Astyanax mexicanus: one gene and its partners. The protein of the gene in region 1 purifies or fractionates together with the protein of each later gene. This does not show direct contact. Links are inferred from orthologs where the notes say so. Each region holds a gene or a part of one and is shown on either strand. Other genes may lie near its edges. The genes, in order: rabggtb, rap2c and ptp4a2b.

Region 1 (3,753 bases):
CAAGAGATGGATGGAAAGAAAGCGCAGCCAAGTTCTGAAGTGGCCAGCAATGAGTCCAAATCTAAATCCCACTGAACACTTTGTGGAGAGATCTTAAATTTGATGTTGGGAGAAGAAACCCTTCAAATATAAGATGTTTGTTGAAGGTTATAGTAACAGATTGAGTTACTTCTACTACAGAGTAAGTACGGAGCTTAATGAACAATTCACAAACTTTTACTGTGTTCTGTGTCTTTAGTACTTTATGTATCTCTTAAGCATGTGAAATAGATAATATGTAATACATACATATTTTTGCCACATTAATATAGTCACTAAAGTAAAAATAATATTTAGTGGAAAAAATACAAAAAATATATACAGCTCTAGAAAAAAATGAGACCACTTAAAAATAAAGTTTTTTTTTTACTTTACCAAATTGAAAACATCTGGAATATAAACAGGAGGAAGATGGATGATCACAAGCCATCAAACCAAGCTGAACTGCTTGAATCTTTGCACCAGGAGTGGCATGAAGTTATCCAAAAGCAGCGTGCAAGATTGGTGAAGGAGAACATGCCAAAATGCATGAAAATTGTGATTAAAAACCAGGGTTATTTAAAAAAAATATTGATTTCTGAACTCTTAAATCTTTATGAATATGAACTTGTTTTATTTGCAGTATTTGAGGTCTGAAAGCTCTGCATCTTTTTTGTTATTTCAGCCATTTCTCATTTTCTGCGGATAAATGCTCTAAATAAAAATATTTTTGTTTGGACTTTGGAAGAAATGTTGTCCCTAGTTTATAGAATAAAATAACAGTATTCATTTACTCAAACATATACCTATAAATATACCTATTTTTTTCAGAGCTGTATATTTAGAGAATCGCAAAATGTGTAATTTGAAAATGACCCATCAGAGCCTCTGTAGTGACGTGTCTGTCCAGTGTGGGCATAGCTTTAGCATTAGCATTAGCTGTGGAGCAGGATGGTGAGTGACTCTGTGTGTATTATTATGCGTTTGTAAGCTGTTATTAAGATCGTTTTAGTCAGGTTTGAGTTGTCAGTGTTTATCAGTGTGTTAGGTGTGTTAATATTGGTACATTAAGTTAATCCTGTAAGTAAAACAACACAAATTCAGACAGCGCCGTGTTTGAATTTTCCGTTCCACCTTAAATGCTACTGCAGTTATAGTAGTAACGCTTTGGCAGCCCTAAGTGAACTTCTGCGGCATTTAAGGTGGAATGGAAAAAATGAATAAAACTTGAAAATAGCTCGATATCTAGCGTTAAAATATATTGTTTAAAGAAATGTAGAGGTTTCTAATAAAGAGTTCTATGAGTAGAAATATGAGGTTGATGTTACTAAAAGGTTTAGAAGTATGAGGTAAATAAGAGTAATTGTTTTTGGACAGAAAACTAATATACAGCCCTAGAAAAAAGGAGGAGACCACTTCAGTTCCTGAATCAGTTATTCTGATTTTGCCATTTATAGGTTTACGTTTGAGTAAAATGAACATTGTTGTTTTATTCGATAAACTACGGATAAAATATTTCCCAAATTCAAAATAAAAATATCATCATTTAGAGCATTTATTTGCAGAAAATGAGAAATGGCTGAAATAACAAGAAAGATGCAGAGCTTTCAGACCTCAAATAATGCAAAGAAAACAAGTTCATATTCATAAAGTTTTAAGAGTTAAGAAATCAGTATTTGGTGGAATATCCCTGTTTTTTAACCACAGTTTTCTTGTATTGTGGCATGTTCTCCTTCACCAGTCTTACACACTGCTTTTGGATAACATTATGCCATTCCTGATGCATGATATATTGCACTCATTCCTGATGCATGATGCTGCATCACTTCAGTCGTCTCTCTTCTTAACCTTCGTAGCTGTGTTCTCTGCCTGATGCATGTTAATAATTTTACCCATCTGAAAGATTAACATCCTTTCCACAACCACAGGATGCGTCTTTCCACATGGTTGTTTAACAAATGAGAAGCTACTCATTGCGTCACTGCTTACATAATCATGTATTCAGAAATGCTCCAATGGGAGGCTCTTTTTTTACTTAGTTAAATGCAGGTGGTGACTTTTTTTTATAGCCAGGCACATTTTTGCACTCTACTTTGGGATTGTCACTTCATTTTGTTGTACTTTGTTCTTCGACAATAATGATCTCTTCTGTCTTTCTGTCTGTATGAATGTAAATACATTTTTTTGTCTTATCTTTTGTCTTACAGGGGACTCAGATTAAAGACGTGGTCATCAAGTCTGATGCCCCCAATACTCTCTTTCTGGATAAGCATGCTGATTATATAGCTGCCTATGGCTCCAAAAAAGATGATTACGTAAGTTTTTGCAGCAAGATGTAATGTAACTGAACGCTTACATCTGATGAAATGTATAAAATGTTTATAGAAGTGGCATTTTTGGAGGCAAACGTTAGAAAAAAAATCCCAGCTTAATAACTCAAGAATGCCTCAACACGCCAGCAAAAAACATATGTATGGCTAGAAAGAGATAAAAAGAAATCCTACAGTTTCTAAAAACTGCAGCGCCCTCACTCTCTAAGAATCCGTGATTGATCCATTGTGAAAAACACTTAATAATGCATGTGTCTTTAAAGTTTCGTTCAGAGTAATTTTCTGTGACTCATTTACTCAGTTTTAATGTGTTCTGAAGTGTAATCCAGTGTCTGAGCCTCTGAGCTCTATGTTGTCTTTTTGTTTCTACCTTTTTCTAGCCATACATATGGTTTTTGCTGGTGTGTTGAGACATTCTTGAGTTATTAAGCTGGGAATTTTTTTTCTAATGTTTGCCCCCAAAAAATGCATCTTCTATAAACATTTTTTACATTTCTTCAGCTGTTTTTTTTTTACACAACGTCACAACCTGATATCAATGCAATTGTTAATCGATTGTTTCACCTTAAAGCATCCAATCAACACACAAATCACATTATATTTTAAATGCCTTAATTACCCGATTTCTCTGCTTTTAAATGATCAACTGAATTAAAACACAGATCAGTGACTCGGTTCTTTTCTTGAACTTTAATTCCAAACTTCACTAAGTGTTTTTTTTTGTTGTTTTTATTAGGTTTTTTTTTTTAGATATTTTCTTGCTCTCATCTCAGACAGCACACAGTCAAACCTAATTATTAAACAAATTCCATAAATATTATGTTCTTACATCATGTTTTTAATGATCAACTGAATTAAAACACAGATCAGTGACTCGGTTCATTTCTTGAACTCCAAACTTCACTAAGTTTTTTTTTTGTTGTTTTTATTAGTTTTTTTTTTAGATATTTTCTTGCTCTCATCTCAGACAGCTCACAGTCAAACCTAATTATTAAACAAATTCCATAAATGTTATGTTCTTACAGTAGGAGGCTAAAGTACCTAACAATTCATGTAAGGTAACCTCTAATAGACTGATAGTGTTGTTCCCCTCTGCTCTGCAGGAATACACTCTGTCGGAGTATTTGAGGATGAGTGGGATTTACTGGGGTCTGACTGTGATGGATCTGATGGGTCAGCTCCACCGTATGAACCGAGAGGAGATCGTCGACTTCATCAAATCCTGCCAGCATGACTGCGGAGGGATCAGCGCCAGCATCGGCCACGACCCGCACCTGCTGTACACACTCAGCGCCGTGCAGGTCACACAGTCTACAGCTCTCAGATCAGTCTAACAGCCAGAACACTAATGATCAGTTACAATGTGTTGGCTTATAATTTGTTTGTTCAGAGATTTGGGAGAATA
Region 2 (3,753 bases), on another chromosome or scaffold:
TATTATTATTATTATGTACTGTGTTGAGTGTCATTGCAAAATAAATTAAACAATTGTCATTTTTTATTGCACACAGAAAACATTTTTGATCTTGTATAGTTGTATATATATCGATATTTACAATATTTTGCCAATCCTTTATAGGCTATAGGTAGTGTTTTTACAACTGAGCGAACTAGTCAAGTTGAGTGCATTTATTTTCACTGAGTATGTTACGAAAATAACAAATTAAAAGTCTGATAAAAATACATAACATGTCTATCTAGCCTATAAAGTAACGTAACATTACACGTTCTGTCGTATGAAGTAAATTATTTTGATTAAAATAAAATTGCAAATATCTGCAAAGAGATATAGGCCGATCAACAGTGCCATCTGCTGGACTGAGAAAATAAAGCAGCCATGTTTTTGCCCTACCTGTTAACAACGATGTGACCACTGGTTGGGATCTGTTTCTTTAATTCTATATTGATGTAACTGTTAATATGGCTGTACATTAGATCAGAAGTTCTAATACTAAATTTTAAATTCTTTAGAAAACTGCTTCACCGTACCCCACACCAAACCCAGACTTGTCTTGTTGCCAAACAGAAAAGCATGATTCTTCACCCCAGCCAACACTTTCCAGCCGTGATGTCCTTTACTTTTGCTTTTGTTGGAATCTATTTCGTAAAGCTCTCTATTAACTGTTCTTGAGATAATCTGAAGACTACATGAAGTTTGGAGGTGTGTAGCAATTGAGTTGGCACTATGTCCCTCTGGATCCGCTGACCATGCTCGTTCATTTCATGTGGTTTACCACTTAGTTTCTGATTTGCTTTCATTTACAAATTCTTCCACTTTGTTATAATATACTATAATATTCTACAATAGTTTGTAGAAACGGTCTGCATAAATGGGTGATTGGTTTTATACCCATGTGGCCATGGAAGTGATTGGAACACCAAAATGGGATAATCGATATTGTACATCTTCACTGAAATACAGAAATACAAGAAGGTTATGTTCGCACATAAATCATGCTGTTTTAAATATTTTATTTAAACTGAAGTTCAAGTCAAGTAGTTTTATTTTCAATACTGCATATGTTACAGCAAAAAAAAAACATAAAGCGATAGTTGACTAAAGTACAGAATAATAATTTATAAATAATAAAAGAATGAGAGACACTATGAGAGACATTGTACAATACAAGGTCATAGATATAGACATGTAAGTTGTTATGTAAGAACCAAAAAAGTCCAAAAGTCGCTCAAATGTTTAAAAAATAATGAGATTGACTATTTTATTAATTACAATAAATGATTATACTGTATAGACTATATATAAGTGAATTCCTCTGCCCTGCTCCAGATCTCGCCTACCAGTCGCGTCGGCCAATCACGAGCGCCTCTTGTCGGCCAGCCAATCAGGGATTTTGCTAAGCTCTGAACATTTTTACAAAAGAAAAGTAGCAGCCATGTCTTAACAGCGGGGCTGCGGCGCGGAGTCTCGGCCTGAACAGCAGTGATTTTCCTGTTATAGATGAAAAGCGGGTCGTTGAAGTTCGGATCGGACCCGATGGGCTTTCCGCCCGACATCCGCTGGTCAGTGTGAGGCGATCGGAGCGAGCTGGCCGGCTTGCTGAGGCTCTCAGAGCGGGAGAGGGAGAGGCCGGGCAGGCAGAGGAGGAGAAGGAGGAGGTGGAGGAGGAGAAGAAGGGAGGGAGGAGTGCGGGTTTTGTGTTGGGCGCTAACACACACACAGACAGACAGACAACAGAAAAGGGGCTCGCTTTAAAACCCCCGAACCTGTTGATTAACCAGGCTAAAGGAAGAACCGGCGGCACCGAGATCTGCAGAGCCGGACACCAGAAGAGGAGTTCGGGCTAGCGGGGACTTGCGCGGGTCTGGACAGGGTTTGTGGGGCCGGGAGCGGCGAGTCGGTCAGTGGGGCGGAGGAGCGAAGCAGAGCAGAGCGGAGCCGGGGGGGTGATAGATAGCTAGTAGCTTAGCATAGTTTAGCCTAACCTAACTGCTAACGATATTTTTCCCATGTAACTAGCTAGGTTTGATAAGCTATCACAGCAAAATGGCAGCAACACTATCACTGACAGTATTTATTTAACTAACTAGTTAGCATTTTGGCGAGCTTGTTAACAGCTAGAGTTGTTGGTTAGCTAATTTGAAGTTAGCCAAGATAGTTTTTAGCTGTATTATTTAGCTAGTTAGCTTACTAGCTAGCTACAATTAGCTAGCTGCCATGAGTCTTTTCTATGGAGTTTGGGCGTTTAGTGTTTAGCTAACTAGCTAGCTAGCTAGGTTAGCCAGCCGGCCTTAGCTAATGCTAGTTAGCTAACCTAAGCTAGCCAAGTCATTGCAAAACATATATAAAACCGCTAACTCAGAAGGAAAATACGATTTTAACTGATTAATCCAATAAAAAATAAAAATTTATTCCAGCTACCCGTCAAAAGTGTCTGTCTGCTTGATGTTGGGGAGCAGTTAGCCAGCCAGCTAGCCTAGCTAAAAGTTCGCCTGCTAGCCACCCAGCCAGCCATAGGTTGGGCTTAGTGTTTGGCTAAGCTAATCTAACGCCCGATCCCAAATGAAGGAGTATAAGGTGGTGGTGTTGGGCAGCGGCGGCGTCGGCAAGTCCGCGCTGACCGTGCAGTTTGTCACCGGGACATTCATAGAGAAATATGACCCAACGATCGAGGACTTTTATCGGAAGGAGATCGAGGTGGACTCGTCTCCGTCAGTGCTGGAGATCCTGGATACCGCCGGGACCGAGCAGTTCGCCTCCATGCGAGATCTGTACATCAAGAACGGCCAAGGCTTCATCCTGGTTTACAGCCTCGTCAATCAGCAGTCGTTTCAGGTGGGCTCCTGTCAACGTTGTGCTCAAGTTTGGAAAAACAGTGGGTTATCTGACCTGTATGCCTGAACAGATGGGGTGTGGGCAATTGATAATACAGCTCTGGGAAAAAAACTGTTTCTTTGCTTTTACGTTAAAAACCTCTGGAATATAATCAAGAAGATGGATGATCACAAGCCATCAAACCAAATTGAACTGCTTAAATTTTTGCACCAGGAGTGGCATAAAGTTATCCAAAGCAGTGTGTAAGACTGGTGGTGGAGAACATGCCAGGATGCATGAAAATTGTGATAAAAAACAGGGTTATTCCACCAAACATTGATTTCTAAAGCTGTGCTTATTTTTTGTTATTTCAGCCATTTCTTATTTTCTGCAAATACTGCTCTAAATGACAATATTTCTATTTGGAAGAAATGTTGTTCCTAGTTCTACTCAAACATATACCTATAAATAGCAAAATCAGAGAAACTAATTTAGAAATTGCAGTGGTATCTTAATTTTTTCCAAAGGTTAGATTAATAAGTGTCTGTTGTTTTTATGAAGGTTATCTTCTTTCTATGCCACACCATCTATATTTTCTATAGCCCCAAAGAGTGGTGTTCCTTCCAGTAAAGAAAACTGAAAAATGGTGTTGTAGCTAGATAAAAGGTTTTCCTACAGGGGGGGGGGCCTACATAATAAAGCTCAGAATTGGGTAGCTAGGTGGTCCTCTGATGCAGAAGAAATGTTATTCAGTGCCAAAAATTCCTACTAGGGCTCATACTAAAGATTATTTTGGTTGTCAACTAACTTAATGTGTGTGTACAGCTCATGTTCCTAGCGGTCTCTATTGATTTAAAACAACAGAATTGGCTCAATTTCGATGGCTATTTAAATATGTAGTAATAATAATTAGTA
Region 3 (3,753 bases), on another chromosome or scaffold:
CAAGAGTAAATGTTTAAGTAGATTTTGCTGTTCCACAGTGTTATGTTTTGTTGTTTTCTTTCCAGTTATACTGTATTTCCAGTTGCACCACCAAAGCAAAATGTAAATACACCCCGAACGACTGGTCAGGCTGAAGAAAAAGAAAAGAAAAAAAAGAGGTAACAAAAACCCATAGAAGCCAAACACCAGACTACAAGAAACAGAAGAAATGGAAACTTTAAAGAACATATCAGGAAAAAGACAGAGCCCAGTACTTTTCACATACACGTGTTTTGTATTGCTTTAGTTCCTGCCTGGATAAAACATATCTTTAGCTACCCAAAAACAGTGTCCAGCAAGACACCTACATAGAATACACCTACATAGGCCACCTGGCATTTGGGCCTGGGATATTCATTTGCCAATTTCACAACCCCGTCCCAATGACTCAAACCACACAAAACACAGTGCAATGTGCCCACAAATAAGTAGGTTAACAAAACACTTTCTGTTAATACCAGGACAATGCATTATGCAAAGGCCCAGTACTATCAAGGCAGAAAAATCATATTTAGATACTTTTGCTTTTGCGGATATTTCTTGCCACTGATATAATGATAATATAATAGTGTAATAATACATTTACAAATAACTTTTTAAGGAGCAATGCAATTATAATCATTCTGATTAACCAAACAGTGGAAGGCTAACCTTTATTATCTGTATGGAGAACTTTTAAGTTCGCTGGTGTTCAACTGTACCTAGCTGGTCTAGTATCCTTAGCCAAAACCTATCAAACCTAATCACATTTTACCTTTATAACCCCGTTATAAATAACATAGCTGTTAGATGTGTTGTATTCAAGGCCTTATCTTGTGCTTCAGCTCTTCATTAATAGCAATAAGCCCTTGTTCATGCCCGGGCATGTCTGTCCTCAACACTTGTTCGCAATTTGTGTTCCCGAGGATGAAAGAAGACCGAGGGAAATTGGGCGCTGTTCGGGTGTTCCCGCATAGCTAACTATTGAGTTAAGCCAAAAAGAAGAGAGGAGACGGAGGAAGAACATCGTGATGTTTGTTTCTCTACACACCTTATCTTAGCTAGCTTCGTTTCTCTAGGTAGCCTGCTGTTTGGACGACTAGTGAATTCTTCTAATTTCAGAAACATTGACAGTTTTCCTAGCAAATCAGTTAACTTAACAGGCAGCCAGAGTTAGGTTCACTCAAGCTAATTTAACTAACGTTACTTAAGCTAGTTAGTTAGTATGTCTGCGAACAACAGGGTGAGGACACAAGCCATCTGATTCAGTAAGCCAAGTTAGCTGAAGCTAGCTATTTAGCAAGCACTAGCCAGCGCTAGCTGGAAATAACGTTATTAACCGGCTGCTGCGATGTCACAGTCGTTCACACGGACTTACTAGATGTTTTAACCTCGAAAACGTGATCGAGAACTGGAAAATACTCCAATTTAATCCGTACACACAAGTATACAAGCCAGTATCTCCAGCTATTTTCTAGCCAACACCAGAACGCATGGTTAGGTCGCTATAAGCTAGCTAAAAAGCAACGTTGGTCAATCCAGGTCCAGAAACTCAAAATCCACCCATGTGTCTGTCACAATAACCTATTTTTGATTATATTTAATAACTGTAATATTAAGACATTTCATGCCACTGGCAAAGTTACTGATAACATAATAGCTAGCTACTATAGCTACTATAGTTATAAATGTACACATTACAATTAACTATCTGGCTATGATCCACTATCTCACTCAGACACTAGAATTGGAATAGAATCAATTTTAAATCATCATAAATAAAAAAAAACATCAACTAAATTAAATAAAACACTATTTGTAAAGAAAGTGGATATACTGTCACATTCCAGCATATATCAAGGTTTAGAAAGTAAAAATCCATTCCGTGATTTTGCTCCAACTGCCTTGCGAACCGCTAGGCAGCAGCAACACAAAAGCCGTACAGGCAGTTAGAGCAAAATACCGGGGGTGGATTTTCGTTTCCTGGATCTGGATTGATGACACCTCTCCTAAACATTAGCTAGGTAACCACCTAAACTAGCCAGATTAAATGCTGTGACTAAACGGCAAAGAGAGACATTAATAAACGAGTTCAGCATGAAAACACCACACTGTCATCTTATTTATAACAAACTACAGTCATTATTTACTCAAAAAACAGGTTAAATGGACCGTCAGCTAACTTAGATTAATATCTGCCGCTTCCAAAACGTGTCGTGCTCGCGCAAATGGCTGCCACATTTCAGCATTAGCAAGCTATGTTAGCTAGTGTGCTAAGCTATCTTAGCTAACCTAGCAAGCAAGCTAGCAAGCTGACCCGCCTGGCTTTCTTCAGGCACTTTAGCTGTCCGGCTATAATAGACAACACTAACTGTTAATACGAGCTGGCTAACCTAGGCTAGCTCTTAGCTAACGCTAGCTAACTTAGCCACTAGCCACAAAGGCTCCTGAACAACAGTTTGCCTTTATCAAAGAAAAAAACATTAACAGCCTTTAAACACTTTTCAAACATATTATCCTGTGAGTAATGAGTCACAGCTACTTACAAAAAACAGGCTGAACATTGAAATCCCGTGAGAATCGCCGGAGAAAGTGGATCGGAGTCGGTAACCGCTCTGCAGGCTCTCCTTCCTCTTCACACTTCACACTGAAAAGTGAGTTTCTCGTAGCGACCTCCGGACTCGAGACTGAAGCTTAGATTTGAATCGGTTCTTTTCAATGAGTCGAACCGACTCACACTTGCCAAATGAATCTATCGACTATTCTAGCATTTTCTAACCCAGTGGTTCTCAAACCACCCATGAACAAACCAAAACGTTATAAATAAAAAATAAAATATTAAAAGGAAATGTATTTTGGTATTATTACTAATACAGAAACTTGTGAATTCAATTGTAGGGCCTATGCAACTAAAGAACTGAAGTATACCAGGCCAAGCACTAACACAAATACACCTGATGTTGTGAAAATTAAAGGTAAAATCTCTTTTTGAATTGCTCATTTACTGTTTTTCCTGCAAAAGCAGTGGCTTATTCTGCTTAGTTGATATAAAAAGCATAATGTTATTAGAACTGTTCATTTATTCTGTCCAACTGTAAAAATATTTTAGCCACCTGAATCCATGAAAATGAACTAGAGTAAACACTGCATTTTATTTATTTTATTAATATATAATATGATCAAATTTACATTTCAATACATTTAGAAAAAAAGGATTTTCATCCTTTGAAACAACAATCTCTACTGTCCAGAGAAGGCCTTCTACCAAATTTTCTAGATGTTGAAGAATTGCTGTGGGGATTAAAATTAGTGACAAGAGCCACCTCATCCCAAACACTCCAATTTATCCCAATCCTCCAAATTTATCACAAACACCCTACCTCATCCCAAACACCCCAATTTATCCCAAGCCATGCAACCTATCCCAAACACTCCACCTTATCCTAAACACCAAACATATCACACCTTATTCCAATCACCCCAATTTATTCCAAACCCCCAATTTATCCCAAACACCCTACATCATCCCAAACACCCTACATCATCCCAAACCCCCAATTTATTCCCAACCCCCAATTTATCCCAAACACCCTACCTCATCCCAAACCCCCAACTTATTCCAACCCCCCCAGTTTATCCCAAACACTCTACCTCATCCCAAACCCCCAACTTATTCCAACCCTCCCCATTTATCCCAAACACCCTATATCATCCCAAACCCCCAACTTATTCCCA

Evidence for each region.
Region 2: the proteins of rabggtb (region 1) and rap2c purify together in Homo sapiens (co-immunoprecipitation; 3 studies listed by BioGRID and IntAct, counting the BioPlex papers as one, with this or other methods). This does not show direct contact. The link is inferred for Astyanax mexicanus from reciprocal best matches to the Homo sapiens genes RABGGTB and RAP2C.
Region 3: the proteins of rabggtb (region 1) and ptp4a2b purify together in Homo sapiens (affinity purification with mass spectrometry; 3 studies listed by BioGRID and IntAct, counting the BioPlex papers as one, with this or other methods). This does not show direct contact. The link is inferred for Astyanax mexicanus from reciprocal best matches to the Homo sapiens genes RABGGTB and PTP4A2.

Annotation. Positions count from the first base shown.
Region 1 is NC_064425.1:41,699,550-41,703,302, forward strand, and holds the start of rabggtb (geranylgeranyl transferase type-2 subunit beta), read left to right. Parts: upstream 1-906; 5' UTR 907-969; coding exon 970-972; intron 973-2,225; coding exon 2,226-2,333; intron 2,334-3,451; coding exon 3,452-3,649; intron 3,650-3,753. UniProt on the Homo sapiens protein: Catalyzes the transfer of a geranylgeranyl moiety from geranylgeranyl diphosphate to both cysteines of Rab proteins with the C-terminal sequence -XXCC, -XCXC and -CCXX, such as RAB1A, RAB3A, RAB5A and RAB7A.
Region 2 is NC_064417.1:46,106,441-46,110,193, forward strand, and holds the start of rap2c (ras-related protein Rap-2c), read left to right. Parts: upstream 1-1,439; 5' UTR 1,440-2,586; coding exon 2,587-2,859; intron 2,860-3,753. UniProt on the Homo sapiens protein: Small GTP-binding protein which cycles between a GDP-bound inactive and a GTP-bound active form. May play a role in cytoskeletal rearrangements and regulate cell spreading through activation of the effector TNIK.
Region 3 is NC_064410.1:46,853,350-46,857,102, reverse strand, and holds the start of ptp4a2b (protein tyrosine phosphatase type IVA 2), read right to left. Parts: upstream 2,681-3,753; 5' UTR 2,565-2,680; intron 1-2,564.